4 linked regions of the Pelodiscus sinensis genome follow. The protein of the gene in region 4 interacts with the protein of the main gene of each other region in a pairwise test. Links are inferred from orthologs where the notes say so. Each region holds a gene or a part of one and is shown on either strand. Other genes may lie near its edges.

What was found.
Region 1: the proteins of KATNAL1 (region 4) and CEP57L1 interact in binary tests that used the Homo sapiens proteins (3 or more experiments, as listed by UniProt). The two-hybrid records come from large-scale screens. The link is inferred for Pelodiscus sinensis from reciprocal best matches to the Homo sapiens genes KATNAL1 and CEP57L1.
Region 2: the proteins of KATNAL1 (region 4) and KATNBL1 interact in binary tests that used the Homo sapiens proteins (3 or more experiments, as listed by UniProt). The two-hybrid records come from large-scale screens. The link is inferred for Pelodiscus sinensis from reciprocal best matches to the Homo sapiens genes KATNAL1 and KATNBL1.
Region 3: the proteins of KATNAL1 (region 4) and cytochrome c oxidase copper chaperone interact in binary tests that used the Homo sapiens proteins (3 or more experiments, as listed by UniProt). The two-hybrid records come from large-scale screens. The link is inferred for Pelodiscus sinensis from reciprocal best matches to the Homo sapiens genes KATNAL1 and COX17.

What each region holds. Positions count from the first base shown.
Region 1 is NC_134713.1:77,741,142-77,748,883, forward strand, and holds the start of CEP57L1 (centrosomal protein CEP57L1), read left to right. Parts: upstream 1-4,433; 5' UTR 4,434-4,464; coding exon 4,465-4,647; intron 4,648-7,742. Other genes in the region: SESN1 (sestrin-1), read right to left, coding at 1,053-1,337. UniProt on the Homo sapiens protein: Centrosomal protein which may be required for microtubule attachment to centrosomes.
Region 2 is NC_134714.1:59,894,580-59,902,287, reverse strand, and holds the start of KATNBL1 (KATNB1-like protein 1), read left to right. Parts: upstream 1-4,534; 5' UTR 4,535-4,705; intron 4,706-7,708.
Region 3 is NC_134711.1:143,106,433-143,114,272, forward strand, and holds the start of cytochrome c oxidase copper chaperone, read left to right. Parts: upstream 1-4,570; 5' UTR 4,571-4,723; intron 4,724-4,758; exon of another isoform or gene 4,759-4,842; 5' UTR 4,843-4,867; coding exon 4,868-4,980; intron 4,981-7,666; coding exon 7,667-7,751; 3' UTR 7,752-7,780; intron 7,781-7,840.
Region 4 is NC_134711.1:298,586,234-298,594,799, forward strand, and holds the start of KATNAL1 (katanin p60 ATPase-containing subunit A-like 1), read left to right. Parts: upstream 1-5,438; 5' UTR 5,439-5,711; intron 5,712-5,811; exon of another isoform or gene 5,812-5,958; intron 5,959-8,566. UniProt on the Homo sapiens protein: Regulates microtubule dynamics in Sertoli cells, a process that is essential for spermiogenesis and male fertility. Severs microtubules in an ATP-dependent manner, promoting rapid reorganization of cellular microtubule arrays.

The sequences.
Region 1 (7,742 bases), on a different chromosome or scaffold from region 4:
CAGAATACTCGAGTAACCGCATGAATTCTTATTGGTTACTTGACTACTCTATAGTCCTGGGGCAGGGCTGGCAGCTAGTGCTTTCCAGTCCCACTCCAAGCGAGTCCCCTGCCACTCCATGAAGCTGACTCTCTCAAGGCAGCAGCATGGGGTGCCAGGTGGGATCAACAGAGGCAACAAGAGGGTAGAATGCGAGTAGTCAGGAAAATTAACCACTAAGCCTAGGCTTAGTGGTTAATCGTATATTACTCAATTACACACCTAATTTAAAGGTCTTGCAACTCCCAGCCCCGCTGCTACCCATTGCCTGGGAACCACCTGAGGTTGCTATGACTATGGCTGCGGTGCTACCCCGACAGGGGCCAGACCTGTGAACCCTTGAAATAGCCACAGCAACCCTGTGCTGCTGCCAAGCAATGCAGTATAGGCTGGGCCAGGATCCATGAACCATTTGCTGCATTTTTTCTTCAGGGTCTCTGGCCTCAGACAACACAATCTGTCTTGATTTTATACTAATAAGACTGACTTAGTCACAACCCTAGTAACACCTGACAATTATATTAAAATAACAATTTGGGCATATGCTCTCCTGAATGTACTTGTGCCCCAACAATAAACCCATATTTCATTGTGAAAATTTGCACAGGAATTCACTTGCAAAGGGAGCTGATTATGTCTGAGGACACCACTTACTTCTTTATAAGCAGATTACTTCCTTATCGATGTTATGCACTCCTCTGACAGATAAACTTTGCCAGTATTTTGGTTAGTTATGTCTCAGGACAAATTATATAAAGTTCTTCAGAAACTAGCTCTACTGCCAGTTTAATATTAACGTGATCAGTCTGAACTGAACACCACAATACAGTCTAGACTCTAGAGAGTACAGTTCAAAAACGAAAGCTTTCCTGTGATACAGCTGAAGAGGCACTATATCTTTATACTGTTTTCTACATCAAGATAACGCCTATTAAAAATATGAGGTACTCTAAGCTGCTTCAGAGATAAGAAATAGGAGGGCTGTTTGTTGGAAGAGGCACCGGGACTCTTACCTGAACACTGCTTAGAATAGACTCACTCTTCTCCCTGACGTTTCTAAAGGGGCATCTCTGGGAAAGCATGAGGAGGCGAGCCAGCATCTCATTCAATCTGTCCGGAACTGTAGCAGAAGCCAAGCATCCTTCCGATGGCCCAGGAGGAAGATCCTCTTTTACAGGTGAGACCTGGGCTGTTCTCCTCAAAACAGCCTGCCGGATGTTTTCCAAGGCAGCATCTCTGGTGCTGGCATCCCTGCTGCACAACCCATCCCACCTCACCTCGCCCTCTCTCTCCTCCATCCTCCCTCGGCTCCAGGGCGCCCCAACCTTCACCAACTTTGCCTCGTGGTGCAGGAGCAGCAACAGCGGTTGGAGATGAACAATAAAGCCCGGGCCCAGCCCATGGAGGGCACCCCCAGCCCGCGGGCGTCCCCCGCGGGTGTCGAAGTTCTCGCCGTTAGAGCCGCCACGCGCCTCGCCTCTCCGGACAGACGCGGTTCTGGGCACGGGGGGCCCGGCCTCCCCACACCATGACAGCGCGGGCCGGCAGCCGGCAGGCGAGGGGGGTATGAAGCTTTGTTCGGGCTGGAGCCTGGTCGGCCCCTCTTCCCGCGGGGTCCGGCGGCGGCAGCGACGGGGAGGGAAGCGGGGCAGGGCGGCGTGTTTGCAATCGCCGCACAGCCGGGGAGATTCCCACGTCCCGGCGCAGGCGGCTCGGCTTCGGGGTGCGGGCGGCTCCCGGCTCCCGCTTCCAGGGCAAGGCGCGGGCAGCGCGACAGTCGCGTCCCGGGGACTGCAGGGCGCTCGGGCAGGGGTAGCTCGGCGCCGGATAGACCCAGCGCAGGAGCCAGAGCGAGCTACACAGGCCCCGCCCCCTTGTGCCCGGGGCTCCGCCCGCCTTCTCCTCCTCCCCGCCATCCTTCAACGACCACGCCCACCCCTCGCCTAACTGTAAAATCCCAACCCCTCCTGTGCCCGCTTGTTGACAGACAAGCCTCCTTAGCCAATCGCGTTTCAGAGACATAACTTGAAACCAATGACAATGACAAAGAGGCGGGGAATCGGGCTGGGCGGCCACTCTCTGCTGCGAGGTTCACTGGGATTTGTAGTCTGATTAAGCCTACAACTCCCAGCAGGCAATGCGCACAGATCTGCCCGTGGGCTGGAGTTGGACTGGGTCATAATTGCCTTGGTGTTGGGCCAGAGAAATTACGAGTAACGTAAACCTAGTTTCAGTGCTTCTCCCTTCTCTATCCCCAGGGTTATAGCAAGGGTTGGGCGGAGAGAGGGCAAGGATGAGGAATCAGGATGCCTGAGTTTTATTTCTGGCTCAGCCACTGACCTACTTTGTGGCTTTGGACAAATCACTTTACCTTTCCATGCATGTGTATTCCTGTGCTTCCAACTCCTCTGTGTCTGACTGGTTTCTAAACAATTCAGGATAGAGTATGCTTCCTACTATGTATTTATATAATAGAGTTGTCAACTCCTTTATCTTGCTTGGGTGCTAGCTCTGGGCTGGGGCAAGGGGTAGGAATTCAGGCTATGGGAGGGAGTTTGGTGCAGTAGGGGATGTGGGTGCAGGCAGGGATAAGAGGTGCAACCTCCAGGAAGAAGTATGGATGTTGTGTGCAGACTCTGGCCAAGGAAGGGGAAGGTGTGTTGCTCCATGATCTGTGCGCTGCTACATCTCTCTCCTCCTCCCTCCCCCCCACCCAGGGGCCACACAGGGCCACACAGCGGCACATATAGGGCAGAGCGAGCGGGGCGGCTGCCCCAGGCCCCGTGCTTTAATAGGCCCCGCGCTGGCGCCGGTGTTTTTAACCTCTCATCCTCCCTGCTTAGAGCAGGATCGGCAGCCTGGGGCCCGCGAGGGAGCCCAACGTGGCGCTTTGGAAGCTCAAGCCCTGCCCCCACTGCAACAGGCAGCCCGCGCAAGCCCCATGCTGGTCGGGTCTGGCCGCAAGGCAGCAACAGCCCCACCCCCACGCAAAACAGAACAGAACAGCGCGGCGGGGCCCTTTGTGGTGCAGGAGCTGTGAACCAGCAGGGGAGGGTCGCTCAGGGCTGCTTCCACCCCCCCGCACAAGCCCATTGGCTGGACCTGGACAATGGCAGCTGCGGGAACCCACCAATCACTGCTCCCCTCAGGCTTTTAATCCCTGAGCACATGGCCAGGTAGCTCCTGTGGGAGAAATGGGCGAGCAGCACTTTTAGGTAGGTGTCTGGCCCCCCCAGCCACTCCCACGTCTTCACCCACATAACCCTCCTCCCAGACCCTGCACCCCAATCCCCTGCCTTGGGGCACAGTCCAAACCCCTGGCCAGATCCGCTCCAGGCCTGCTGGTCCCCAGCCCGTTTGTGTGATCCCCAGCTGATTTTTCTGTAGAGTCAGTGTCCCCTAACCCAAGAGAGGTTTCCCACTCCTGCCACAAATACAGAGGCCCCTGCTTTATAACAGCCCGCTTTACGATCCTCCCCCTGCCACCACCATTATGACCTTTTTCCGAAGTGGGGAAGAGGCCAAAATCCCCCAACTTATGTCCTTGGCCTATTGTAAATGCAGGCGCGAGTTATGACTAGGGTTGCCCGGTGTCTGGTATTGGCCCTGACAGTCCAGTATTTGTGGCTTCTATCAGGTGGTAAACCCCCAGAAAATACCGGACCAGTAAAATGTCCGGTATTTTCAGTTTTTCTCAACTGGAAAGCCAGTTGGGACATTCTTGCTCTGCCATGAATGGGGTGGAGAGTGTGAGATTTAAAGGTGCCATGATTTTTTTTTTGTGGCGGGGGGTGACTTTTTTTGCTCAACATTTGGACATCCCCCTCTTTTTTTATTAATGCAGAATTTTGTTTAAAAATGAATTACAATATAATTAGAATAAAAATTATCCAACTAAATTAATTTTCTATCAAATTTACCCAATTCACATTTAATATGAAAATAGCCTTCAATTTGTGCATTTGACGCCTTTTTTCCATTTTTTTCTCCAAAGGGGGGCCTGGAGAAATTGTGCTGCCCTGGGCCCCGCAAAACTCTCATCCACCCCTGGGGCCACACACACATGCCGGCAACTGTATAGAATGAGCACTAGCCCCACTACACTGACAGTGTTAATGGCAGGAGCTCCTGGGCAGTTTTAAATTGTCTGGGGGTGGCAAATGGGCCAGGAGGATGTGAGAGAGGTTGCAGGCAGGGCCTTGCGAAAAATTCAGCTCTGAATTTAGTGGAGCCTGACCCGTGACCAGGAATCTTTCTGGTGTCTGGGCAGCACGGATCCATATAACTCATGCCTATGTCTGCGGTTCTCAGAATATGGGTTGGGACCCCCCAAGTGAATCATGACCCCCTTTTAACGGGGTCACCAGGACAGATGTTATACACTTGAACCTCTGTATTCTGGGTGTCCGTCATCCAGGAACATCTATGGTACAGAGGAGAAACTGGCTCTGTGAACTGCCACATCGTCTCCCACCCGTTGAGGGAACAGCAGCATGCTGGGCCACTTACCCTGATGCTTCTGCCCTCTGTTCCCATAATGGCAAGGGGTGGTGCCTAAAAGCGGTGAGGAGTATGGAGCTTCATGTGCCCCTGGGAGTAGGGCAGCAGGTAAGCACCCTATTCTCATCCCCTCACGTCCAGATCCCGCAGTGTCCTCTCTGGCCCAGCAAAATCTTTAATCCAGCATACCCTATTTCCCAGAGTTGCCAGATTAAAGAGGTTCGAGTACTTGCTGGGCCTTGGACCCAAACCCAAGTCCCACTGCCTGGGGCCAAAGTTTGAGTGTTTCAGCCTTGGGTAGTAGGACTCAGGTTACAGGCTCCCTCCACCCCTTGGGGCTGAAACTCTTGGGTTTTGCCCCACCTGCCCAGGGCAGTATGACTCAGGTGGGCTCAGGCTTTGGTCCCCTTTTCTGGGGACATGTAGTAATAAATCAGGATTTAAAAAACAAATGATTTGGAGGTTCTGACTCATGAGTATGAATATTTAGGATTGGAAATATTATTACAGTTGTAAAATGGGATATACCTTGTTATGGGTGGAGTCAGAGGTGAAAGTAAGGGGGGTGCACGCTAGTGCACAGCTCCAGCAAGAACTGGCTAAGCTGTGGCAAAAGCCAGCAGAGAGCTATTTAAAGAGCTGGCAGGGAACCGGCATGCTATAGGACAGTACCTGTAAGAAATGTAAGTTCCTTTAATACCTGGGTGGAGTTAAAACCTTGTTGAATTTGGTATGTGAACATGTCCTTCGCTTAAGATTGCTACAAGGCAAAATTAAAGAGGCCTACATAAAATGCAAAATGGAATTTTCTGAGAAAATATGGCCATATGGGCAGGTGGTTCTACTATGTACTGTTTTTCTGACCAAGTAGCTGGGAAGGCAAAAAATGAACTGGCAGAGATTCAGAGGCAGCAAGAAAACCAACCAGCCACATGAAAATACAACCCTAGGAGAAGGAAAGGTTCTTGGTTGGTGGTGCTCGCAGAAAAATGCTTGAGCTGTAAACAGGCTTGAATGTTTGTTTCTCTCTGAAACTCAAACTGGTCGTGCATGTTTTGTTTCTCTTCTTCTGAGAAGTCCAGTGTACAAAAAGAGAACGTGGTCCCTGTTTTCCAAAGATTGCTTAATCTTCAGCGGTGAGAGAATCGTGGGAGAAAAATTGATGAGGAGTCTTTAAAATTATCTTTATTTGTGTTTCTATTCTATTCCATTTTATGGTCTCTTAGTTGCATGATAAAAATTTTTTTGTTGGATAGCTTAACAGACATCCAGGAAAGCACATATTACTTTCCCCAAAAAGTTTCTCATAGTATGTTTTAGAAACAAATTCTAAAGAAATGGCAAGGCTGTTTCACCTGCCTATGGCAGCAAGTTGCAATAGCTAAACTTCTCGTCCGACAGTCTCATTAAATATTAGATACTTAGAAGGCAAAAACTAATCTGTTTGAAAGTGTTTAATGTGAATGACAGAAGAGGAGGGCTGCACTGAGCAGGGATATGAAAGTTTTGCTGTTTAAGGTTAACTGGTGGAGGCTGGAGGAGCTCCCCACCTGTTTCAGCCCTGCAGGTGGGCCTGCCCCAGGCAGGGGTGGCCAGAAAATTCCTGCCTGCAGGATGCCCTGCAGTACAGGCAAGGGACTGCTCCAGCCCAGCGGTAGGTGGGGGACCACTCCAGCCAGTACGACCCTGGAGTGACCCCCTCCCACAGTCTCCTTTTATCCATTAATTGGTTAAACAACATGTTTAATCAGTTAATCAATTAAATGGAATTTTGTATCCCTAGCATTGAGGCATAACCAAATACCTGCAGATCCACCCGGCGGTGCTGTAATTGACTAACAACTTCTTGAAACAGCTGCCTGCCTCTCGCCCCCTCGCTGCTGCCGCCGCTGTTTACAGGCTTTACCTCCCTGCAAAACAGCGGAGGGTTTGCCCCTTGCCACGCCGTTCCCCACCGAGCCTCCGCCCTCCCTCCGCCCCCACCGGAGGCAGTTGAGGAAAGATAAATTGTGAGCCTGTCACCTGCGGATCCATCCGGAGGTACTGTAATTGACTAACAACTTCTTGAAACAGCTGTCGGAGCACTTCCGGGTTCCAGTTGGTGCCGGACCACTGGATGCCGGACAATTGGAATTTCACTGTATATCTAGAACAGATCTGACAAGAGTTTGTCAAGTCTGTTCATAACAACCCCTAAGGATGGTGATTTCACAATCTTTCTTAGAAGCCTGTTCCAGAGTTAAAGTATCCTTATATCAGAGGGGTAGCCATGTTAGTCTGAATCTGCAAAAGCGGCGAGGAGTCCTGTGGCACCTTATAGACTAACTGAATTCTCTCTTATAGACTAACTGAAATTAGTCTATAAGGTGCCACAGGACTCCTCGCCGCTTTTGCAGTATCCTTATAGTTATAAAGATTTCCTAATAGCTAACCTAAATCTCCCTTGCAGGGGACAGCGTCCCTTGCTTCTTGTTCTACCCTCAGGGGACATAGACAACAATTAGTAGATCATTCTTCTCTTTATAAAAGTCCTTACTGTAATAAAGGCAAATAACAGGTTTCCCCTTGGACATCTTTTTTCAGGATTAAATATGCCTCATTTCTTAAATCTTCCCTCATAGTTCAGGTATTTAAATCTTTTAGCATTTGTGTTGCTCTTCAATCTACCAACGTCCTTCCTCAGGGGCCCCAACAGACTTGTCAAGCCTATGGACCAGGTGTGGGAGTGGAACTCTGTGCTCGTGGAAGAGGTGGGGCTGGGGCAGGGGCTAGCCTTCTTTTCGCCAGCCCTTCAACCCCACTCAGGGTACGTCTAGACTACATGGCTCTGTCGACGGAGTCATGTAGATTAGTGTACTCGAAAAAGGGAAATGAAGCGGCGATTTAAATAATGGCCGCTTCATTTACATAAAAATGGCTGCTGCGCTGTGCCAATCAGCTGTTTGGCGGCACAGCGTGGTAGTCTGGACGCTCCGCGGTCAACAAGGGAATCACTACTCATTCCACGAGGCATAATGGAGTGGTCGACAAGGGCTTCCGAGACAAGGGCTTCACTTGTCGACCACGGAGCGTCCAGACTACTGCACTGTGCCACCAAACAGCTGATCGGCACAGCGTGGCAGCCATTTTGATGTAAATGAAGCAGCGATTATTTAAATCACTGCTTTATTTCCCTATGTCTAGAAACCTCATCTACATGGCTC
Region 2 (7,708 bases), on a different chromosome or scaffold from region 4:
TGTTCCCCACTCTGGCACTCCAAGTGCAGAAGGTGGGGGCCTGCAAAAGACCTTAAATACATTGCCTCATTGGCTTCTGCTTACAAAAACTCCAAAAAATCCCAGATTCACTGGCCCTGGGAGATAGGCTTCCACCATCAAGTGAATTAAAACCCTGAAAACAAGGAAAAACACTTGAACTTCTTCCCAAAGTGTACATAAGCTCTTTTACCATGAGAGCTTAAAAAAAGAAAAAAAACACAGAAAATAAACGCCATCTTCCTGGGCCCTGCAGCACGGGGGAGGACTGGGGGACGGCGATACTCTGCCCCAGTACACCTACAGTGGGCATTCTGGGAACAGAGTGTGGGCAGGGCCAGCCTGGTGGTCTGGGAAGCTGCCCATGAGTTCCCCCTGCTGTATGTGTACTGGCCCATAGATTTCCCTCCTGTAAAAATGCAGTTGACACAAACAATAAAAGATTCTGTTGATTCTGAAATCATCCATTTTTATTTAGGAAACACAGTGAACAGAGGCAGAAGAAGAGTTCAAGGCATGAGCTCTGATGGCAGGGGAGAGCTCAAGGGCAAGAAGCTTATTACAATTAGGGGTGTCAACGTGAAGACAACTACATGATTAACCGATAAGCCTTTTGTCAACTATACTCACTCACTCTGCTCCTCCCCACTCCTTATGAGCATGGACCTCTCTACCCCCATACTTCTGCCTCTGATAAAAAGGCAGCAGCACAGAAGGCGAGGGGGGCAGGCAGGAGCCAGTACATGCAAGAAGCCAGTTTTCAAGACAGCAGCCTGTTCGTATGGGCTCCTGTGGAGCCACCTGCCCTTCCACACTGCTGCCTCTCTCCATGGGGTCCAGACCAGAAGGTTAACTCTTACAATGAATGAAGCACTGTGCTGCACAAAAAGCATATATTATGTACAAGGCCAAATCTATCATTTTAAGCACCTGTCAGGCAGGTAGAAGACACAGATCAGCATGGGGCAGGGGAGGCTGATACATGGGCAGCAGCAAGGGGTGGCAGGGAACTCCACAGCAGTGCAACTGGTTGTGTATTGGATTCTGGCCCCACCCCTGGAGACTGTGGAATAGTCGTGTAACCTTTAAAATTTGATGAGGTTACACAACTATTCAATTACAAACTATCGATCATCCCTAATTACAATGCCCTTGTATAGCAATCAAAGCTGTGGGAATGAAAGCCTTCTGGTCTAGGAGACATCCCTGGGAGTTGAATGAATGGTTTCCCATGACTTCACCCCATACCCTGCATTCCAGGGCACCTAGGAGAGGTGACTATGGAACTTGGTGAAGAGGGCAGGTGGTTTATCATTGGGTGCAGAGGGGACACTGCTCCATATGCTTTTCTTGCATCTCTACCTGGCACCTCATCAGCTCTGTTTGCTCCCCCACAAACCTCAACGTCTCATCTCACATCCTATGCTCATGTTCCGTGTATGCTCTCCTCTCCTCCTGTTCGACGTTTATGATCTGTAACATCGTTCTCTTCCATGCATTCTGTTGAGCTCTGTCAGTGTGGATGGATTTTGAACTTGCCCATTTAACATTTCATCCCATGTACATTTTTTTCTTTCGCCTTCTGATCTGTGACAATGGATGTATTGGTGGATCTAGAGAAGTGGGTAACAGAGTCATCGTTGCAGCTACCTTGAGTGAAAAAAGTCAAGGGTAAACTTTAGAGAAGATACATTGTAAGACACAAAAGGTTAACTCTTAGTATGAATAAAGTATGTACAAAGCCAAATATATCATTTTAAACATCTATCAGGCAGGTAGAAGACACAGCTCAGAATGGAGCAAATGGACTTGGTTTGGTGGCAGGGATAGTAAGCAGCATATTGAGATTCTTACTCTTTTGATTATGCTTTTAAAATATGTGTGACAGTGTTTGCAAACTACAGCCCTCATTGCTATCTAAGCATTTGCATTTGCAAGAGGGGCCACATTCATGAGGAACCCTGCAAGTGGGTGAACCAGGCGGGTTTTTAGAGGCTCGTACATTCAGCATGTGTTTTCCCCACGCACTCCTCTGTTATACCTGCAGACTGCAATTCTCCCTTCCCACAGTGACCTGCATAAGGAGAGGTGGAGTGAACCTGTTCTTCAGGATAATCCCTTCAAGCCCTTTACAATGATGGCTGCAAGTCTGGGGTCATGATTTTCCAGAGATGAGCAAAAGGAGGCAGTTTGCCTCAGTGCTATCAATTACAGAACTTCCACTTTTTCATCCAGGTTGCCATGCGTGATATCAGTCTTCTCCAAATCAGAGAGTATGACAGAAAGTGGATGCTGACTGAATGTGCTCAGAAATCTGTATCTTATTCTGCTATGCTTTGTGCTGCAATGATGCCAGATCACTTACTCCTAGCTTGGTGTGGAAAGATGGCCTACTGTGGAGAACGGAATAAGGCAGGCCTTCCCAGAAACCTTGTGAGAAGAATTAAAGAGTACTTCTATGAGAGCGTTGCTAAGATGTACAGGGAGGATTCCCGCTTCATCTCCAGATATGTTTACAAACTTTACCAGAGAGCCCATGCTGTGTAGGCAGAGTGGCTGCCACTATACCTCTCAGGACAGAGCAAACAGAAAAATCCAATTACATTTACCCACTGTAACTTGATTACAAAAGTGAATTGACCAGAAGTGCCCTCCCCACCATCAGGGTCCCACAGCAATACATCCCGGGAGGAGATTGGCCTCCTGGCTGTCAGTGAGACTGGATATCAATGTTTCTTCTGCTGCTTTGGAATTCTGCCTGCAAAAATTCCTCTCCTCGTGCAGCAATCAGATACAGGATTTCCTGCATGCTTCATTCTGGAGCTCATTTATGACTCTGGCATTCATGGTCAGGTATGCTGCTGAGGTGTGTTGCTGAGCTTGCCATGTGGCAAAACAGGAAATGAAATGCAAAATTTCCTGGGGCTTTTCCTCTGTACTGGGAGAGTAGTAGAGTTGAAAGTACTGGCCAGAGCAGTCACAGTGGGACACATCCTGGAGTTCAACAACATCGACTTTACCAAAACTGTGTCTGAACGATCCCAAAGTTGATCATGCAAGGTCAGATTTAGCACTACTGTTGTCAAGGGGAAATACAAAAATCTACTTTAACCACCCCTAAAGTCAGCAGAACATGGAGGAAGCTGAGCGTGTAGGTTAACAAAGATTGTGGGGACAAAGGATGAAAGCTTGGCCCAAATGAAGTTAATGGCAAAACTGACATTGTCTTCAATGGGGTCAGGATTTCACACAAATGAAACTAATGGAGTCCGTGAAGAGAAGAAGAAACTGCCTGAGAAGGTGCTGAAGTGACATGGCTAGCTGAAAGAATTATGTCTACAGTGAGAATATAAGAAGGGTTGGTCAGAAAATGACAAGTATTTTCAACAAAAAAAAATCACTGAAACTAAAATTTTTCATTTCTTTCAAAATCTTTCAGTGATTTGATGAAACAACTCAATTACTTTCCCCCTCCAATCCCTCCAGATCAGTAAGCAGGAAGAGAGAATTAATAAGGAACAAACATTTTCTATTAAAAATGAAAAATGTTTATATTCATTTTATTGAAAAATCAAAAAAGTAAAAGAAACACAAACTTTTTGTAATAATGCTAATTTCCAACAAAAAGTCATTTTAAACCTAAAAAAATAGAAACCACTATAATTTGAGGGCCAATGAGGTGATCTAAGGGGACGTCATAGTGGAACAATTGAGGGGAGTGAGACACTGGGCTGGAGGGGTGGTTGAGACTGGCAAAGGAGTGTTTGTGGTGGCAGTGAGACAAAGGAAGGGGGTAGTCTTGTGGCACCTAAGAAATCAACAAATATACGGGATCATGAGCTTTCCTGGGCAAAACCCACTTCATCAGATGAGTTGGGCAAAAGGAAGGGAGTGACGCTATCTGAGAAGTCATGGGATGGTGGGACTGGGGGGGGGGGGGGAGGAGTTGTTGAGACAGCACAATGGCCTGAGAGAAGTGTGGAAGTGAGGAGGCTGAGGTTGGGTATTTGGGGGCAGGGAAATTCCCTGAAAGTGGGTTCGGGGGGAGGGGAATGAGACTGAGGGGCTTGTGGGGCTGATGTTGCTTAAAGGGATTCAGTTAGCACTGAAATGCTTTGAGGGTCATTGGAAGAGGGGAGAGGGAGACAGATGAAGGTATATTGTGGGGATGGTGGGACTTTGAGGGGTAGATGAGGAACTGCTGAGGCTGTGACTCAGGGGCAGAAGTCAGGGCACCAGCGGGAGGGAGTGTTGAGGGTGACACTGAAGCGGGGGCACAGCTGCTGAACCTTGGGTGGGGTAGGGCAGAAGGGAGCCTGAGGGAGAGCTGAGGATGGGTTCGTCAAATCTGAGGGGGGGGGGCAATGATGCCAACGGAGGGGCTGGGGCCAGGCAGGGCAGTGAGGGCCAGCGGGCTGTCCGGGGCGGTGATGAGGATGCGCGGGGAGAGGTTGAGGCGGCCAGAGCCAGGGGTCTGGCGCGTGCAGTTCCCGCGGCCGCCCCTAGGGGACGCGGCGGCGGGGAGGGGCGCGGTCCCGCCCCGGCTCTCTCCGGCCCGGCATGCAGCGCGCCGCAGTTTGAATGGCGCAGGCTCCGCGGAGTGGGCCCCGGCGCTAGGACTGCCACGGATCAGCGCCGCCTCCTCGGCTCGGCTTGGCCCGCAGCAGCGCGGTACCATGAGCAGCGGGTGAGTGGGGCGGCTGGGTTCTCGGGCCCGCTCTCGGCCACGGCCCTTCCTCCCTTGGGGCTGAGCCCGGGGCCGCTCCCTGGGCCGGGCAGCGCGGGCGCCTGGCTCCGCAAGGGAGGCGTCCCGAGCGCCCGGCCCGCAGCTCAGCCGGGGTCGCTGGCAGGGCTCAACCGGGGTTGCACTGGCGCCTCTGCGGCGTTAGGCCGTGGCTGGTGCCAGGCATGGTCCCTGGAGGGAGGGGCTGACAGGCAGGGTCTCTCCCGCCGCGTCTCTTCCGGCTGGACAGGTGCCGCTGGGGCGGGGATACTCTCCTGGCACGTCTCTGAGTGTTGTCACAGGCCTCGCAGCTCGGTGTGTGCCGGGGCGTGGGCTGACCCGACAGCCGCCCGGCGCCTCTTGTCTCCGCCACCGTCTGCTGCTCGCCTGTGCAGCCCCTACGTGCGCCCGCTTTCTGGGCGGCCCCCTGCCGGGAGACGTTACACGTGCCATTAGTGACACGGCTCCTTCGTTTTACCTGGGACAGTGTCCGCCCCCCAGAGGCGCGAGATTGGGCAGAGTGTCCTTTCCTAGCAGGGTGATGAGATGAGCCGCAGTTTAAAACGAGATCCGTGAAGGTGTAGGAGCTACCAGGGCGGCTGGAACGCATATCCTGCGATTTGCCCTTATTTACTCTGTTTAGTGAGTGAAATTGGTGTCTTATTCCTGGGGGAAAATAGAGGTGAAAGTAAGCGGGTGTGCCCTGGTGTGCAGCTCCAGCGGCAAAAACCAGCAGGGAGCTATTTAAAGAGTTGTAGAGACCCGGATTGCGATGGGACAGTATCTATAAGAAGCTTTAAGTTACTTTCACCGCTGGGAGGAAAAAACACACTTCAGGGCTCTGGAGACTGTATTGCTTTGCTAAGGGAGTTTTGGTTTTCTGAGTAAAATACATGACTTGCATTAGCGTCATTCAGTATATTTAGATTTAATTCCTGCTGTCCAAACAAAGTTAGAGAAAATACAAATGATATAACTTATAATAGTTGACATTTTTTAAGACTTTGGAACTATATTTTTATTTTGCAAAAATAACTTTTTTCATTGTGATGTATATTACACTTTTTAGAACTGCCTCAAATCTATATATGGTCCATCAACCATATGAAGAAACTCGCACAGATACAGACAGACATCAAATCTATATGTATTTTAAAATAGTTACAGTCCTTTCTTGGTTATATATAAATTTCCCCTCTAAGCACCTTCCCCTCTTTCCATTCCTCCTAAGCTCTCTGCCTTAAGCGGAGTAAATAGATGCCACTCTGGGTGTTCTGAAGAAAATTTAATAAAATCGCAAATAAAATTTGTAATTTGCTAGTATTCTTTGTTCAAAGGAACAAATAGAACAGATAAAAGCCACTAGCAGAATTATTCTATTCAAGATAGTTGTATCCCCAGTGTAAATAAAATTGATCTACAGTGTTGTTGATGGGTCTGTGTACAAATAATGTTATGGAATTGGTAAAATGAGCATTAGCTTGAATTTCTAAATTTGTATTTGAGAATTGTAGTTTATAGTAATCATATTTGCAGGAGAGCCAGTGAGACGTGCATCTGTTTATATTTTTACTCAATTATCTGTAACACAGATGAAAATTAGTAGTCTCAGTTACTACAGAGTTATCAATGTGTAAAAAATTTTAAAAATCTGTTAAATCTGTGTCTTCACTTTTGCTAGTAATGCCCTGAATAATATCTCAAAGATGCCAATACACTATCTAAGCCCAGGTTTACACTACAGCCAAAGGCCTTCTTAAGGTATGCAGTAGGGCAGCCCATTTAGCAGGTCTTCAAGCAGCATTGATCTTCTTCTCTATAGCTTAGATATAGCCTTACTTGAAAATTTTTTGTAGGGGTTTAGCATTTTATAGGCTATGCATGGTTTTCTGAGTAAAATGCATGACTGTATCTAAGATCTACCTGGCTCTAAACCCGAGGTAGGCAATCGTTTTCATAGGCTGATCACTTAATGAATTTTGGTATTGACCATGGGGTCTGCGGTAGAGATGTAAGTGACTAATCAACTATACAATAAGCATAAGCTTATCAAATAGTTGAATAGTGACTCTACTAGTCACTCCCCCATCAAGTAATTGACTAGTCGATGGAATTTCCATCGATGAATTGATTAAACACAATTTAACATCCCTACCTGGGGCAGAACGGGCGGGGCTGGGGACTAGCCTACCACCAGATTTGTCTGGGGCTGAAGGCTTTGAAGTAAAAATACTGCAAAGGACTCGTGGCTCCTGGCCCTGCTGTTGCTGTGTGGCCTGGCAGCTGCCTAGAGTTGCTACATCTATTTAAAAGGCTCATGGCTTCAGCCCCTGCCGGTCTGGTTCTGTGACCGGGAGCCATTTAAATAGAATCCTGATACCTGAGCCACAGCTGGGCAGCAGAATAGAAATAGAAAGTGACCAGATGCAGTCTGTGGGTGGGATCCAAGTGTTAGGTGCGCTCGATCTCGTCCTTGGGCCACATCTTGCCCAGCCTAGATCTAAACCCTAATTTCCACACCCTTGGTCAGAGAAGCTGCGTTGGTGACTTCGGGGGTGCCATGCCAGGAATTGTGGCAACTGTATAAATTACTTGTTGATCAAAGGGATGGCTTGTAGAGGACTAGAGATGAAAAGAGTTAACTGCTTAACATCATCCTTACTGGGCGATGCTTATGGGTATCCGATTAACTGGCGGGGCACAGGGGCTGCTCCGAGACTAACCATTTATTCCTAATGTTTAACCAGTTACTATATTAAATAATTAACATCCCCATAGAAGACAGGACACAAATAATTAATAGGAAATGGCAAGGATGCGTAGCCTAGCCACAGATCTAAATTTAGAGGGCTCTTGCAAGAGCTTCTTCTCAAGTAGAAAGAGCTCCTTACAGAGAGCATAGCAATGCAGTGAGCAATGGTAAGAGTGACTACAAGGGGAGGAGTCCAACATATTTAAGAATTAGTT
Region 3 (7,840 bases), about 160 Mb from region 4:
TGAAATACTAGTGCCATGTTTACTGACCATACTCCACTGCTACAAGTTGCTTCATGCTGACTAAGACTATGTCTACACTACAAGTTTTTTTGGCAAAAACATGGTAATGAGGGACTCATTTGCATGAGTCACAATCTCATTTGCATATTTTCTGCGGATCCGTTTTTGCACAAAACCAAGCAGTGTAGATGTTTTCCTCTACCGCAAAACCCCTTTTTTTCCGCAAGATCGCAAAAACAAGCAGTGTGGACATTTTCTTTTAGTGCAAAATCCCCTTTTTCCTCAAGATTGTAATCTTGCGGAAAAAGGGGTTTTTGCGCTAAAAGAAAATGTCCACACTGCTTATTTTTGCACAAAAACTGATTGGCAGAAAATATGCAAATGAGATTGTGACTCATGCAAATTAGTCTCTCATTAGCATTTTTGCTGAGAAAACTCGTAGTGTAGATGTAGCCTAAGAGTATGGCTATGTCCCCATGCTCTGATTGACCTAACATGTTAGAAACAGAGTGTAGTCATCATCGCAGAAGAGGCCAGCTGCACCAGTACACACTTGTCCAAAATGCTAGGCATGTAACTCAGAATGATTAGCGCCTTCTGCCACTGCAGCTACACTCTATTTTTGCACGTAGCTCTGATCAAGCTAGTGTAGGTATCCCCAGCTCCAAGTGTAGACATTCCCCAAGAGCTATGAGGCAGGCTCTGTCTCATACTTCTTTCAGAGGTTCTGACATCTCATTGAGGATTTCCTCTTCATTGTACCACCTTCCCTGGTACTGGATATCACAGTAAGTGAAAATCCATTGGCGCAAATCCTTTGGTAGCTTTCAGTATGACATATATTCCTGAAGGTCATTCATCTGCCATTACAGAAAAGACAGGCAATGATTTACATTACTGCAGTGGTCTCCAACCTTTTTAGCCACAAGATCACTTTTTCAATTTAAGTGCAATGTAAGATCTACCTCAAACCCAAATACCCTTTCCCTGCTTCCTTCTCACCCCTTCTTTGAGTCCCTGCCCCTGCTCCACACCTTCTCCGAGACCTCACCCTGCTCACTGCATCCCCCTTCTCCCATCCTCACTCACTTTCACCAGGATGAGGTAGGGGGTTGGGGTGCAGGCTCTGCTCTTGGGCCAAGAGGTTTGGCGTGTGGGAGGGGCTCCGGGTTTAGCCCAGGGTGGAGGATTGGGGTTCAGGAGGGGTTTCAGGGTGCAAGCTCTGGGAAAGAGTTTGGGTACAGGGAGACTCATGTCTGGGGCAGGAGGTTGGATGTAGGAGGAGGTTCAGGGCTGGGACAGGGGCTCAGGATGAAGGCTCTGGCTGGGCACCATTTAACAGAGACAGCTTCCGGGTAGTGGAGCAGTGGGGTTCAGACAGGTTTATTCCTGCCCTGGCCCTGCACCACTCTGAAAAGTAGCTGGCATGTACAACAATGGCTCCATAGCACCATGTATTGCCCCTCATCTACAGGCACTGAGCCCACAGCTTCTACTTGCCACGGTTCCCCGTTATTGATCAATGGGAGCTGCTGGAGCAGTGTCTACAGGCAAGGACAGCCTGTGGAGACCCCCTGCTCTGCCTTTCTCAGGGGCTGCAGGGACATGCCAGCCACTTCCAGGAGTAGCAATTACCATAGGGATAATTACTCCAGCCGTGAGAGGTTAGGCATTTTAGAATTCACTCCTCAAATAATTAAATTTAACCATAAGAGAGAAATGAAAATGATTAAATGCACAGACCAGTCAAAATCCCAAAGTAACACACTTTTCAAACAGTAAAAGAAATAACAACCCCCTACACACATACACTATGTCTACACTCGCAGCTTCTTGCGCAAGAACATCTTGCACAAAGGTTCTTGTGCAAGAAAACGTCCACACTGCCATGTGCGAGCTGTGCTTTTGCGCAAGAGTGCCCATGGCAGTGTAGACGCTCTCTTGCGCAAGAAAACTCTGATGGCCATTCTAGCCATAGGGCTTTCTTGCGCAAGAAATCCCTGCCACGCATCCACACTGCCCTCTTGTGCAAGAGCTCCTGTTTCAGAAAAAGGTGATATAAAGAATGGGCCCTGAGTTTTAGGGTAGTGGTGGCTGCACTAGCTTCATATCACCTGAGGAATCCTCCATGCCAGGGTAACACCCAACCCAGCAACTGTTTTAGAGCAGCTTTCAGTCCTCTCTGTATCAAAGAGCCATGAGCTTAACATCTGCAGCATGGTCCAAACTGCTCTTTTGAATCTTCTTTATCTAGTAGTGAATGATATATAGAATCTTTTAAAGTAGGTGTGATGGCCAGCACTTGGTAACTAAAGGGTTAAACCTAGGTTACTAAGGCTGTTGTTGGCAGGGAGCCAGAAGAACCAATGTGATACAGAGCTGAAATTTAAATTGTAAATATATACCTGCAGCCGTTTCTCTCTATGTGAATTTTAAGCCAGGAATTGGGAGAAAGAGAATGATTTAAACCAGGCAGGACTACCATGCCTCCAAGGAACTCATGCCATAGAGGTGAACTGGATCATGAAGGGATCGTGAGTAAATAAGGAGAAAATGTATATTTAGTCATAATCTGGGAATGTTCCTTTGTTTTGGTTGTTTGGTTAAACTTCTCTGTGTGAATCCACGCCTTCCCTCCCTCACTCACCATATTTAAGCTACAGCCCAGAGATACCATTTTTCTCTGTGTTTTAATCTGTTCTTTCCTCAGTTGCTCTGTAGCACCTAGCAAACAAGTATGCTTTATCAAGTATCTTTTTTCTTTTGTTAATAAAATCACTTTTAAGGTGATGATTTGATTCTTGTGTCCTGGAGGTCTCTTATGTGTGCCTGCCTAGCCTGAGAGTTCCCTATCAGAGACACAGTTTGTTTACTGTGGGGTTTGTTGTTGTTTCTTTTTCAAGCTCACTTGGGGTATCCCTTGGGAAGAATTTCAAGTGTTTTTTTCTGTTTTTTTTAGGGATTAAATCACTTGATGGTAACAGCTACCTCCCAAAGTCAGTGAATTTGTGACACTGGGGAGTTTTTATAAGAAGAGTCTATAGAAATAAGGTATTTAATGTCTCTTGCAGGCCCCCGCCTTCTGCATTCAGAGTGCCAGAGTGGGGAACATCTCTGACACTAGGCAAAAGAAATGTCTTTAGGCATTTCATTCCTAGTTCCACCTGTGTTGTATCTACATATGTATGGCAAACACAGATTCTGGTGACCAGATATACTAGTGGGCTGGGCCCCATTTTTGCTATGCTTACCAACCCCCCTCTAAGCAGCCAGAGAGCCTGTTAATCTCGCACTGACTATTTAGAAAAGCGGTTTAGAAAAAAACTGTTAATTGGTCTATTGCTCACATACTACATGTTACAGATGGATCTACAGACAGATCTCAGTTTTGCAGTTGGTACTGGTGGAAGCACAGGTAAGCATGACACTAAGACTCCACTTTTAAGTAGGTTGATGACATCATTCTGTTGCATAGCAGAAAAAACTTTTGTATATTTAGATAACTGGTTCATCTTTTAGCCAGTCCTCCCCAGCCATCTAGACTCACAATACAGAAGCGTAAAGACCCGATAAATTTGATTGCACCCACAAAGTAACAGACAAGCAGGAATATTAGGTTGTGGTCCTTGGCACTGGATAGTTGAATCTGCTCTATGGATTGTTGGCAAAACGAGTAAGAATTTCCTCACGCCGCTTTCAGGTCAGGATAAGATTAAAAGATCTGCATTCTAAGGAACTGCATTAACACCAACCAAGATCTTAATCACTTGCACTGTGAGTGGGACACCCTGATCCATTCAACCTGATAAAAGGGAGAAGCTGGGGGCCTGGGGAAGAGGATCAAACTTTTTTCTTCTCCTTGGTAGAAGCATGGGGAGCTAAGGAAAATGCTTTTGCCCCACCTAATCATTGCGGTAGCAACTAAGGATTGGTTATCTAGTCCTCATCCTTGGCATTTCCCATGAGCTTTGGGGTGGAATAAGAAGTAAATCCCTCAAGAAAGAATGGGCTTGCTTTGAGCCAGGGTGCTGTGAGAGGAAGGGCACTAAGAAAGGGGATCTCCTCTGTGATGCGTTACATAGGCAGGGGCAGCCCATCCATATAGGTGAACTAGGCGGTCGCTTAGGGTGCCAAGTTAAATGGGGCGCCAAATGGTGGTGCAGTATCATCCAGGGGTTTGGAGGTGGGGGTGCCGATTGCATGGTTCGCCTAGGGCGCCAGTTGCTGGCAGCTAGTCTAGGGCTGCCCCCATACATAGGATATTCGCCTGTAAAGGTTTTTGGAGGGGAACTCGCTGTCCCGTTGCAGATTTGGCTCCAAAGTGCCTGTGGGGCAGACACTGCTAGTGCTGGGGGGCGGGAGTTGCAAGGCCATGTGAGCCGGGGGCGCCACCCGCAGTGCGACCCGCCGCTGCTCGCGCCCCAGGGCGGCCGCGCTAACGAACACGGGGAAGCGCCTCTCCTCGGGGCCAGCAGCCCCGCCCCGCGGCTCCCGCCGGCAACAGGCACGGGGCGGGGCTAGAAGAGGGAAGCCGGCAATAGGGGGGAGGGGCGGCAGGAGTCGGGCAATGGCGGGGGGGGGGGGAGGGGCGCGTGGCTCGGTAGAAGAACTCCATTTCCCGGCGTTGCCCCGAGCGGGGCGCGCAGGCGCAGTCAGGTCTTGCCGCTCGCAGCCCCGGCCCTGGAGGGCGCGTGCGCATTTGGCGATCCGTGCGCGAGCCCCGGTAGGACCATGCGAGGGTTGCGCATGTGGGAAAGGGAGGGGTGGGGGGGTTTGTGCCGAGACCCCCCCCCCTCGGGTGGGGGCAGCCGGGCGGCTCTGACCAGCCCCTTGTGTCCGCAGGGAGCCTGGGCCGCTGCCGCCGGAAATGTCGAGCCTGGCGTCCGCCAGCTGCGAGCCCCCGGGCCCGGCGCCGCCGGAGAAGAAGCCGCTGAAGCCCTGCTGCGCCTGCCCCGACACCAAGAAGGCGCGAGATGCCTGGTGAGCGGGGCGGGGCGGGCGCCGCCATTTCCCCTCCCCCGCCGCGGCGCTTCGCTCTGCCCCCGGCCCCGACCGCACCGGGCTGCTCGGCCGCCTTCGCTGCAGCCCGGGAGCGACGCAGCTGGGCCCGGCTCGGCGGGAAGTGCCGGCCCGGGGCGGTGTCAGCGGGGGCCCCTTTCGGGTTGTGCCTCAGCGGGGCGCGAGGCTTCCCCTGGGGCCACACGCGCACCGACCCATCCAGGCCCGCCTGGGTTTAAAGTGTCGCCCCAGTCCCGAGCTGGTTCCCGGTGGACAGATGACCCCTCCCCCCCTCAAAATCCCCCCGAGCACTGGCTCTTGCCTCCCTTGCTCGCAGCAAGGCGGGGGGGGGGGGAGCAGGTGGCTTTGCAGATCCAGCACCTGGCTCCCCACATGTACTGGCTTCCGCCTGCCCCTCTAGCTATCCGTGCTGCTGCCTCTCTATCAGAGGCAGCAGGGGGGAGGGGAAGCAGGCAGCTCAGAGAGCTGACTTAAAAGCTGTCGCCGCATGGGCACCACTTCTGTCCTCTGCTCCGGCTTTGCAACCTCTGATAGAAGGCAGCAAAAGGGGGGGGGGAATGCTTCTAGTCAGTAGGATTAACCGATAAGAGCAGGCTGTTTGTCAATGTGCAGTTAACTACACGATTAACTTCCAAGTGAAAATGCTGTAGTGCAGTAGGTTCATGTTCCATGCAAAGCTTGCAGGTCACATGGTGCTGACTGCTCCTTTGGGGCTGGGACTGTATGCAAGTTAGTGAATCAGCAAGTGCACAGTGGCTCTTAAGTAATGAATTGCTATCTACAATTACAAAATGTAAACCCCACAGTAGGCATGGGAATTATTTAGGGTGATACATATTCATATACATTACTTGACTTTTTGTCTTATCTCTCTGTGTACAAAAAACCCTTTCCTGTGGGACAACAGAGTGATGTCATCACATCACTTTGCATCCCATAGCCCCTCCCTCTGCCACCTTGCTTCTTTCCTCCCTCCCTGGTACTCCAGTGGGCCGGAGCTAGGGGCCACATGCCCTCCCCCCTCGTGGGGGCCGCTAGCCCCATCACACACACACACTCTGCTGAGACTCCACATACCCCCTTGGTCGAGACCCTGCACTCCCAGCCTACTCCTGTCGCCGCCCCCCTGGCCAGACACTTACCCCCAGCCTGCTCTTGCATCCTCTCCCTGGCCACACACCTATTCCCAGAAAGAAGGGGTTGGTGAGGGTAGCAAGCAGGGGGCACAGCCCCCTAGTGTAGTTAAAAATTAAAATAGTACAGTGAAGGCTAAACATCAGACTAACTTCCTGAGTGTGGGGCATGGCAGGCCATGAAATACTTCCTCAAAGGAAAGGTCAGATACTCTTTTACATTGGACACTTTAAAACTAGGCTATTTTACACAACCAATAACTATCTAATGGTGTTAACTTCTACTAGATATCCTTCATGGTAAATTCTTAGGATTTGAAAAAGCACTTATGTAGATAATAAGAGAATCCAGTGTTAACGTTAGATAGGATAAAAAGTTTACCTTCAGCAGAACTTATATATTATTCTGCAGTATACTTTATGTGCTATTTTGTGCTCTGAATCCCGTTTTCTAAGCCTAACACTGTCTGATATAACATAAGCAATACTAACTTTTCTCAGGATCATGAGTGGGAGAGCAGTTGTGGGAAATACTCTTTACCTCTCTGTGGGAAAATGGTAGTGTTGGGATATCAAAGCAAGCTCTGTAACAGTGCAAGCTTCCTGTCTTACACTTGTCACTTCTTAGCACTTTATGGGCCTAATTAAAGTCACATAGCAAAGGTTAAGATTTTTGTCACAGTTATTTTTAGTAAAAGTTACAGACAGTTCCTGGGCAATAAACAAATTCATGAGAGGGACTGACTGCCCAGGGGATGGTGGTGGGAGAGTTGGTAGGCTTGACAACCCTGGCCACTGCAATGGGAGAAGGACCCGCTCCAACTCCAGCCCCATCCATTGGAGGGGGAAGGAGGGGAGAGCACCAGCTCTAGCCACTGCCAGGGTGAGGGGAAGGAGGTGCAGCTCTGGCAGTAACCACCATTAGTGTCAAGTGAGTTTTCAGCAATGCAGCAAAAATAAAATGGTTAATGAGTGTGCTTGTAATGTTAACATTGCCCGTCTCCTTGTACTGACCAGATTCTCTGACCACAGAGCCTAGCTGGCAGCCATTTTACTACGGGCTGCCTCCCTTCCACTTGAAAAGACTGGCAGCCATCTTAACTGAGGGTAGCCAGTGGTGTCACTCTCATGGGGAAGGATGGAAGACAGTCTGTGTCTTTACTATGTGCTATCTTTCTGTGTGCAGTAACTCTATGAGGATAATCTCTTTGAAGTATATCAGTTAATTCTCCCTGGTGTAAACTATACAGCAAATTTGAAATTACTGCCATTTTGAATTGTATTTATTTTACATATTTTAAAACAGGCAGGGAAAGTCAAACAACAAACCATCTGAGTTTAAGGACAGCCTTAAATTAAATCAGATTATTTCAGATTTTAGTCTCTGCTTACTATAAAGTCTGTTGCAAATGGATACTTTTTGTGGACCTTCACGTGTAAGAGTCCATTGGCCTTACAAATCTGAGTATTACGTGGTTTTGCTAGCTAACCATGGAAATCTTTTTGCATTACAGCATCATTGAGAAAGGGGAGGAGCACTGCGGGCCTCTTATTGAGGCTCACAAGGAGTGCATGAGAGCGTTGGGGTTTAAAGTATGAGTGAGATGAGCAGCGGGGCTGCATGCATGGTGAGTACAGATCATGGGACCATATTCCTTACTAGCTCTCTGACTCTGCACTGGTCCAAG
Region 4 (8,566 bases):
CTCTACAAACCCCATACTGAGCTTATGCAGGAATGGGAGGGGAGCCTCTCCTGTCTGCAGGGGAGAAGCTTGACCACACTCAGACACAGCTGCCAGTGCTACCACTCATGAAGGCAGGCACTAGTATTTCTTAGTATTAAAAAAAATACTAACAAGGGGAGGGATAGCTCAGTGGCTTGAGCATTGGCCTGCTAAACTCAGGGCTGTGAGCTCAATCCTGAGGGGACCATTTTGGGATCTAGGGCAAACCTGTCAGGGATGGTACTTGGTCCTGCTGTGAGGGCAGGGGACTGGACTCTACTCAACGCAACTCAATGACCTCTCAAGTCCCTTCCAGCTCTATGAGATGGTATATCACCTTAACAAAAAGCTTGACCCCACTCAAATTGTGCTCTACAGGGGACACAAAGCCTGCTATAAAAGAGAAAGTACAAACAAGGAAGGGAGGCAAAAAGGTCTGGGAGTGGAACAGCGATGGGATGACACTCTTCAGGCCTGCACATAGAGGAGGTGCAAAGGTGTCCACCATGGGGCCAATTCTGATTGGTCTGGAAAAGACAGAGTTGGTATGCTGCTGCAATCTCCCTCCCCCATGTTCTGGCTGTTCTGGGGGAAATCTGGGGCTGATTCTCCCCCAGGAGAGAGACTGGGGGGGGTGAGGCAGCTACCAGCTCCTCCCACAGTTTACACTCCCCTCTCCCACACAGAAATTCCTGCATATGGGCCTGCCCCCAGACTGCCTCCCTGAACACACCCAAGGGACTGAGGCACACTTCTGGACTCAATCAAAATTCCAAATCAAAGAACCATCCCGAGATGAGGAAAGGGCACACTGAGTGGGCCCTGACAAGGGCAACAGTGCCCTGCCAAAGGAGCACACCTGGAATCAGCAACACTGCTTTTCTCTGTAAATCATTTTGTGAGATTTCAGATGAAGGATGCTGTGCAAAATTATTTGTACTGTAACTATTCAGTAGAGCTAACTACCTTTTTTCTCTCTCTTTATAGAGGTAAAACCATTCTGAGGTCTCAGGAAAGGGGTGTTTTTATATACATGTTCTCTCTCTCTCTCTCTCTCTCTCTTATGTGATACTTATCTATGAAAAAAGTGTTCTATTAATATTTTAAGCACAATCCTGTAAAGACTGTCTTTTTTTCAGTGGATGGATTTATAAGGTTATCTTACATAGTCTTGTAGCATAGTGCAGAGTGTATAAAAATATGGCTGTATTTTTATATTTACTGCTTGGAGAACCATGGTGGCTGATTTATTCAAGCATCACTTCCAAGAAATGAGTATGTTCAGAATCTCAATGAAACTTCAAATAGGAAAGACACTTTTCACCATAAATATTAACCAATAACTGTGTCTAAAATGGTCCTTTTTCCTGGGGATATTTAGAAATCCAGTTTACATTACAGCTCTGTGTCACACTGTATGTACATGTAATCTGTTGTCAAAACACACATTACAAATTCATTTTTTAAATACCAGTTGGGGATAAATTGTCTCTTGAGAGTTATCCCTGAATACAAGACTACAATCTCTGCTATATACTCTAGGGCTACGTGTATACATCAGTGTTATTTCAAAATAACTGATGTTATTCCAAAATAACATAATCCACATCTACACACAAGCAGTTATTTCAATATGACTGCTTACTCAGGGTACATCTACACTGCAGGGGTTTTCTGAGTATCCTGGAAAAACTCCACCGCGTCCAAGGAACGCGTTTGCTCTTCCACTTTTTTTTGTGGCACACCAAACACACTCTTTTGGGGAGCCCTATATTCCTCGTTCTACGAGGGATAAGGGCTCTGCCAAAAGAGGAGGCTTTTCTGCCATTTGGTCCTGTCTAGATTGGGCCAAATGGCAGAAAAGCCTCTTCTGGAGAAGCGATCAGAAAAAGCTATGCAAATTGCGGAGCGCAATTTGTAGTAACTTTTTCCAACTCCCCCCCCATAGTGTAGACCTAGCCTCAGACTCCTGTAACCCTCATTGTACAAGGAGTAAGGGAAGTCAGGGGAAGAGTGCTCTATCTCAAAATAACTGCTGCGTAGACAGCGCCAAAACTCTAAATAAGCTATTTCAACTTAAGCTACGCAATTGGCATAGCTCAAGTTGCAGAGCTTATTTCAAGTTTAGCCCTGCTGTGTGGACATGCCCTAGATGCAATTACACATGCTGCAGATGACATCCATGGGATAAATTCTTAGGCTATGTTATGTAATATCAATAGTAATAGAGATGTAGCCGTGTTAGTCTGGTCTTGCTGAAACAAAAGACAGGACTATGCTTAAAAGTGCTGCATAGTCCTGTCTTTATGTAATATCATATATTGATAATATAGGATGAATTATACTTGGATGACTTAGTTGATGAAGAATATAATACATATAGCGTATGTCATGGCCAATAAAGCTACACACAATGCTGAGGATAGTTTATTCAACTTTTTATATGCTCAACACCTCTATGAGTGTCATTGGACTTCAGGATGTCCCTGTGGGTTGGATTTTACATTTAGATCTCTAACAGCAGAAAGAGTGTAGAATTGCTGGTACAAGGGACCTGACTTCCTAATTTTAGCCTTTTGATCTTGAACTGCCTTTCCAGCTCTCTTTCCTGGTCTGTTGCTTTCTCTGCTTCCCATTTTTGCCACTCTAACTCCAGTGATCTCGGTGGGTCTCTTTTTGCATTGTCCATTTCTCTTTGGCTGCCCATGGCTGGTATTTACTAGAAGCTGGGAACAGGAGATGGGATCAATCACTTGATGATTACCTGTTCTGTTCATTCCCTTTGAAGCATATAGCATTAGCTGCTGTTGAAGCCAGGATACTGAGCCAGATGGACCTTTGATCTGACCCAGTATAAGTGTTATTATATTAAATCACATTCCTTCTCCACGTTTGCCATCTCCAACATCGCCAAATCCAACTTCATGGCTGTTTCATTGAGAGCTGTATTTGCACATACCTTGCACATACCTTATCTTTTTTCCTCCAGTGAAAATCTCAATTACTTTGGTATTTATTTCTTGAACTATGTGCTGCTGCTCAAAGTACTGCCTCTTGGAATATGATTCTTGCTTGGTCACAGAATACTATTGTCTGTTCTATTGCCCTTACTGAAATAAACAAACAAAAACCAACAATCTATACCCTTTTTTGGTTGTTTCTAGCCATCTCACTTGTGAATCTCTTAGTATCCACAAGCTAATCTACACTAGATAATTAGATTGATCCAGCTATGTCATTTGGGGTGTGAAAAATCCACATTCCTGTGAGAGATAGTAAAGCCAACCTAAGTCCCCAGGTAGACAGTAGTAGCTTGATTGAAAAATTCTTCCACTGACCTAGCCTTTAAATTGGAGCTTTCTTCCTCCTGCAGTCCTACTTTCCTAGTCAGGTTTCACTCCCCAGAACAAGGCAAGCAGTCCCAGTACTCCCAGGCCCCAGCCACACCAAGTCCTGGCCACAAGCTGGCAGTTCCAGAAAGGAGCAGCATGCTTGGATTGGGTCCAAGGAGAAAGTGGCAAACAGAAGGGAGTTTCTGGTGGGGTGTGGACAGAGCCACACAGTACTGTTTGGGGAGCCTCCCACAGCCTACAAATACACACCACCCACAGCTGAAAAGGTAGATCTCATGGAGGTCACTGAATCCATAACATAATCTTAGCCTTACTTATTAGAGACTGGATGTGTGAAGGCATTGCTAATGAGATATAGAGCCTTTCCTGTATGTGTCACAAATTTGTTTCTAGCCCAGCTCAGCAGGGCTGGAATTATTTTAATCATTCCCATCTGTTGGAAGTTTGGTGGGTGAGTGCCAGCTTCCACATCACAGTTTCACAAACAGCGTATGGGTATGTGGGAGGACAGGGGACAGATGCAATGTGAGGGGTAGGCACTATGTGAGAGGACAAGGGACAGGAGTATTATGGGGAGGGATGCAGGCAGCATGTGGGTGTTGGGACTTGGGGGGAAGCAGGCAGTGTGTGAGTGTTGGGACTTGGGGGGCAGGCAGTGTTGGGATTTGGGAGGCAGGCAGTGTGTAGGTGTTGGGATTTGGGGGCAGGCAGCATGTGGGTGTTGGGACTTTGGGGGCAGGCAGCATTAGGTGTTGGGATTTGGGGGGCAGGCAGTGTGTAGGTGTTGGGATATGGGGGGAAGCAGCATATGGGTGTTGGGACTGGGGGGGCAGGCAGAGTTGGGTGTTGGGGCTTGCGGGGCAGGCAGTATGTAGGTGTTGAAGGTTTGGGGGGGAGGCAGCATGTGGCTGTTAGGACTTGTGGGACTAGGCAGCATTAGGTGTTAGAATTTGGGGGGGGGGACAGGCAGCATATTGGTGTGGGGACTTGGGGGGGGACAGGCAGTGTGTGGGTGCTGGGATTTGGGGGGCAGGCAGCGTATTGGTGTTGGGACTGGGGGGGCCAGATGGCATGTGGGTGTTGGGACTGGGGGGCAGGCAGTGTGTGGGTGTTGGGACTGGGGGGACCAGGCAGTGTGTGGGTGCTGCGGTTGGGGGGGGGCAGGTGGCATGTGGGTGCTGGGGTTGGGGGGCAGGCAGTGTGTGGGTGTTGGGACTGGGAGGGCCAGGCAGCGTGTGGGTGCTGTGGTTGGGGGGGCAGGTGGTGTGTGGGTGCTGGGGTTGAGGGGCAGGCAGCGTGTGGGTGCTGGGACTGGGGTGCAGGCGGTGTATTGGTGTTGGGACTGGGGGGCAGGCGGCGTGTGGGTGCTGGGACTGGGGGGTAGGCGGCGTGGGGGTGCTGGGACTGGGGGGCAGGCAGCGTGGGGGTGCTCGGGTTGGGGGCCAGGCGGCAAGTGGGTGTTGGGGTTGGGAGGCAGGCGGCGTGTGGCGGCTGGGGGGCAGGCGGCGTGTGGGTGCTGGGGCTCGGGGGCAGGTGGCGTGCAGGTGTTGGGACTGGGGGGGCAGGCTGTGTGTGGGTGCTGGGGGGCACGCGGCATCTGGGTGCTGGGGCTGGGGGGCAGGTGGCGTGTGGGGGCTGAGGAGCAGGCGGCGTGTGGGGGCTGGGACTAGGGAGCAGGCGGCGTGTGGGGGCTGGGACTGGGGGGCAGGCGGCGTGTGGGTGTTGGGACTGGGGGGGCAAGCGGCGTGTGGGTGCTAGGACTGGGGGGCAGGCGGCGTGGGGGCTGAGGAGCAGGCGGTGTGTCGGGCTGGGGTTGGGGGGGCAGGCGGCGTGTGCGGGCTGGGCGGGGGGGGGGCAGGCGGCGTGTGCGGGCTGGGCGGGGGGGGGCAGGCGGCGTGTGGCTGGGCGGGAGGGTGGCGCACAGATGGGCCGCAGGGAGGACCAGGGCAGGGAGTGTCTGATCAGACGGGCCCAAATGACCATTTCAGCCTCTGGCTCCTGGCTGGGCGGGGGGGGGGCAGCGGGCAACTCCCCCTGCTCCGGGGTCGTGGGGGGCGGGGCTGTCTGTGGGGCTGGGTCGCAGCGGGTGGAGGTGGGGCCGGCGGGCGGGTCGCTCTGCCCCCGGGCGCGGCGGGAAAGGGGCCTGGGCTCCCCCCGGGAGAGGCCGCGCCGCCCCCAGCCTCTCGCTGGGCGGGGCAGGAGGGCGGAGCGGTGGGATACCCGGGCACCACGGCCGGGCGTCGCCCTTCGCCTCCATGGCAACGAGCCGCCGGCGCGCGCACGCCACGGGCTAACGGAGTTGCTCGCGGACACGCAGCAAGGGCAGCGCTCCAACAGGTAAGGGCAGGGCCTGACTACGCGGCGCCCATCGCGGCTGCTGGGGCGGGGACGCGACACAAACCCCGACAGGGACCGCGGCGCGAGAGGCGCTGGCCATTGAACGTTCTGTGGCCGGAGAGAGCTGCGGAGCCTCTGCCGCGAAGCAGGATGGGCGATGTAGTTCTTGGGCTCACGCCCGCGGTGACGGCCGGCCGCGGCGCGGGCGGGCGCGGACTACAGATCCCAGCGCGCGGCCTGTGGCCGGGTAGGGGGCGCAGCTTGGCTTCGCCCCGGTATCTGACCCTGTGGGGGAGGGGTCGGGGGGGGACCCGCTGGGGACCCGGAGGTGGGCGCGACACCGGGGGCTGCAGCAGCGCAGGCTGGGCCTGTGTAACGGCGCCGAAGCTGCGGCCCGCGGTCTGTCGGGGGCTTGTGGCGCCTCCGCCCTGGGGGTGTCTGGGGGGGGGGGGAGGATGCAGAGCTGGGTGTGTAACGGGAGGGGCTGAGCGCAGCGCCAGGGGACGTGGGCGAGGAGGCAGCGAGGGCGCTGGGCTGTCAGTCCCCCAACACGTTAAGTCCCGTGAGCTGTGCAGCGCCTCTGGGGAAGCCCCTCTCGCTGGCTGAGCCCCTTGGACCAGCTGCTCTGTCCAGGCACACGCCTGGTTTTGCTTTTTCCATAGTTCCCTTTGGCTTTGAAATGCCCAGCGCTTCCCTCCTGAGCAGGCAGCCTCCTCTCCCCGGGTTGCACATTAAGGCTTTGTCTACACTCCCACGTAACTATCCAGTCTTTAGGTGCTTATAGATTATCAGTTTTGCCTGTTACATACAGCTCCGCTTTCCCTTTGATATTTATATACCCATTTCCCCCCCCTCTATTTATTTTTGGTTCTGGACATCTAACACTCCAGTCATCTGAAGAAGTGGACTGTGCCTACCAAAGCTCATGATACCATTTACATGTTTTGTTAGTCTTTAAAGTGCTACCAGACTATTTGTTGTTTTTTAAGTTTATCCCATACAGACTAACTTGGCTACCCCTCTGAAGCTTGCAAATCTTTTGTTGGTCAGGGGTGTGGAATCCCCCTGACCCCCCCCCCCAAACAATCCAGACAGACATAGGCAAGTTTCACTGACAAAAGTGTAGACCAGTGGTTCCCAACCTTTTGGGGTTGCTGGGTGCCCGGGGGAGGGGCCACTCGCGCTGGGCACCCGAGGGCGGAGCCGCACACGCACCTGGGGGCGGGGCTGCGGCTGCGCACGCTCCCAGGGGCGGGGCCTCCCATATGCTGCATGCCCAGTGCCGGTGCCACCCATGCGCTGCACTCCTGGGGCCGGCGCCGCTCCTGTGCCTCACGCCCAGGAGCTGGCATCACCCAAGCGCTGCGCGCCTGGGGCCGGCGCCGCCACTGCGCTGCGTGCCATGGGGCGGGGACGCCCATATGCTGAATGCCCAGTGCCGGTGCCACCCATGCGCCTCACTCCTGTGGCCAGCGCCGCTCCTGGGCTGCACGCCCTGGAGCCAGCAACGCCCATGCACTGTACGCCTGGGGCCGGCGCCACTCCTGTGCTATATGCCCGGGGGCAGGGATGCTCATACGCCACGCGCCCGGGGCCCGTTCAGCCCATGTACTACGCTCCCGGCGGCGGGGCCACCCATGTGCCACGTACCCCGGGGCCGGCACCGCCCATGCGCCATTCAGCCAGGGTTGGGCCACCCATACGCTGCGCGCCCAGGGGCTGGCACTGCCCATGCACCACATGCCCGGGGGCAGGGCTGGCCCCGATCACTCGGTGGGCACACAGAAATGGCCTGGCGGGTGCCATGGCGCCCGTGGGCACCATGTTGGGGACCACTGGTGTAGACTGTGTGGCCAGTGGTATGTTGGCAGGAGAGCTCTCTTCCACCAGGATAGGGCAGTGGTTCTGCTGTGTCACTGTAAGGCAGTGGTCTCTAACCTTTTTAAGCACAAGATTACTTTTTGAATTTAAGTGCAATCCAAGATCTACCTCTCATATAAATATCCTTCCCCACTTCCTTCCTACCCTTTCTCCAAGGCCCCACCCCTGCTCACTCCATCCTCCCTTTCTTGCCCATCCTCACTCACTTTCATCAGGCTGGGGCAGAGACCTTCACCGCATCCTCTGGTAAGGAGTTCCACAGGTTGACTATGAGCTGAGTGAAGAAAAACTTCCTTTGGTTTATTTAAACCCTGCTGTATATATCATAGGGTATGTCTAGACTACATGCCTCTCTTGCCAGAAGCATGTAAATTAGACTACCTGACATAGTCAATGAAGCCAGGATTTAAATAGCCTGGCTTCATTAAAATAAAAATGGCTGCCGTGTTGTGCTGGCTCAGCTGATCGTCGGCATAGCGTGTGAGTCAAGACGCGGATCGGTCGACAAGGGAAGCCTTTGTCGACCGCTCCTGTAAACCTCGTTTTTTTAATAGAGAAATAAAGCAGGTCACACTAAAACCAATGAAAATAATTGACTTATTTATTGAAGACATTGTAGGAGACGTGAGATTTTTAAGTGCAACTTAAATGAGAGGGTAGTATTAGGGATGGTTTTGAAGGCATGATGGACAGCATGAATAAATTAGGCAGAAAAGTGTATGAAAAGGAGTAAAGGCTAGTATCTTTTTTCAGCTATGCTATTCTTGCTAGTTAATGTTTTATTGAAAGCAAGTGAAATGTTAGGATTCATGCAACTTGATGTTTATATTAGGGATGTAAACAGAGGTAAAAGTAAGCGAGTGCACCCTGGTGCACAGCTCTGGCAAGAGCTGGCTGAGCTGTTGCAAAAGCCAGCAGGGAGCTATTTAAAGAGCTGACAGAGACCCGGGTTGCAATAGGACAGTACCTATAAG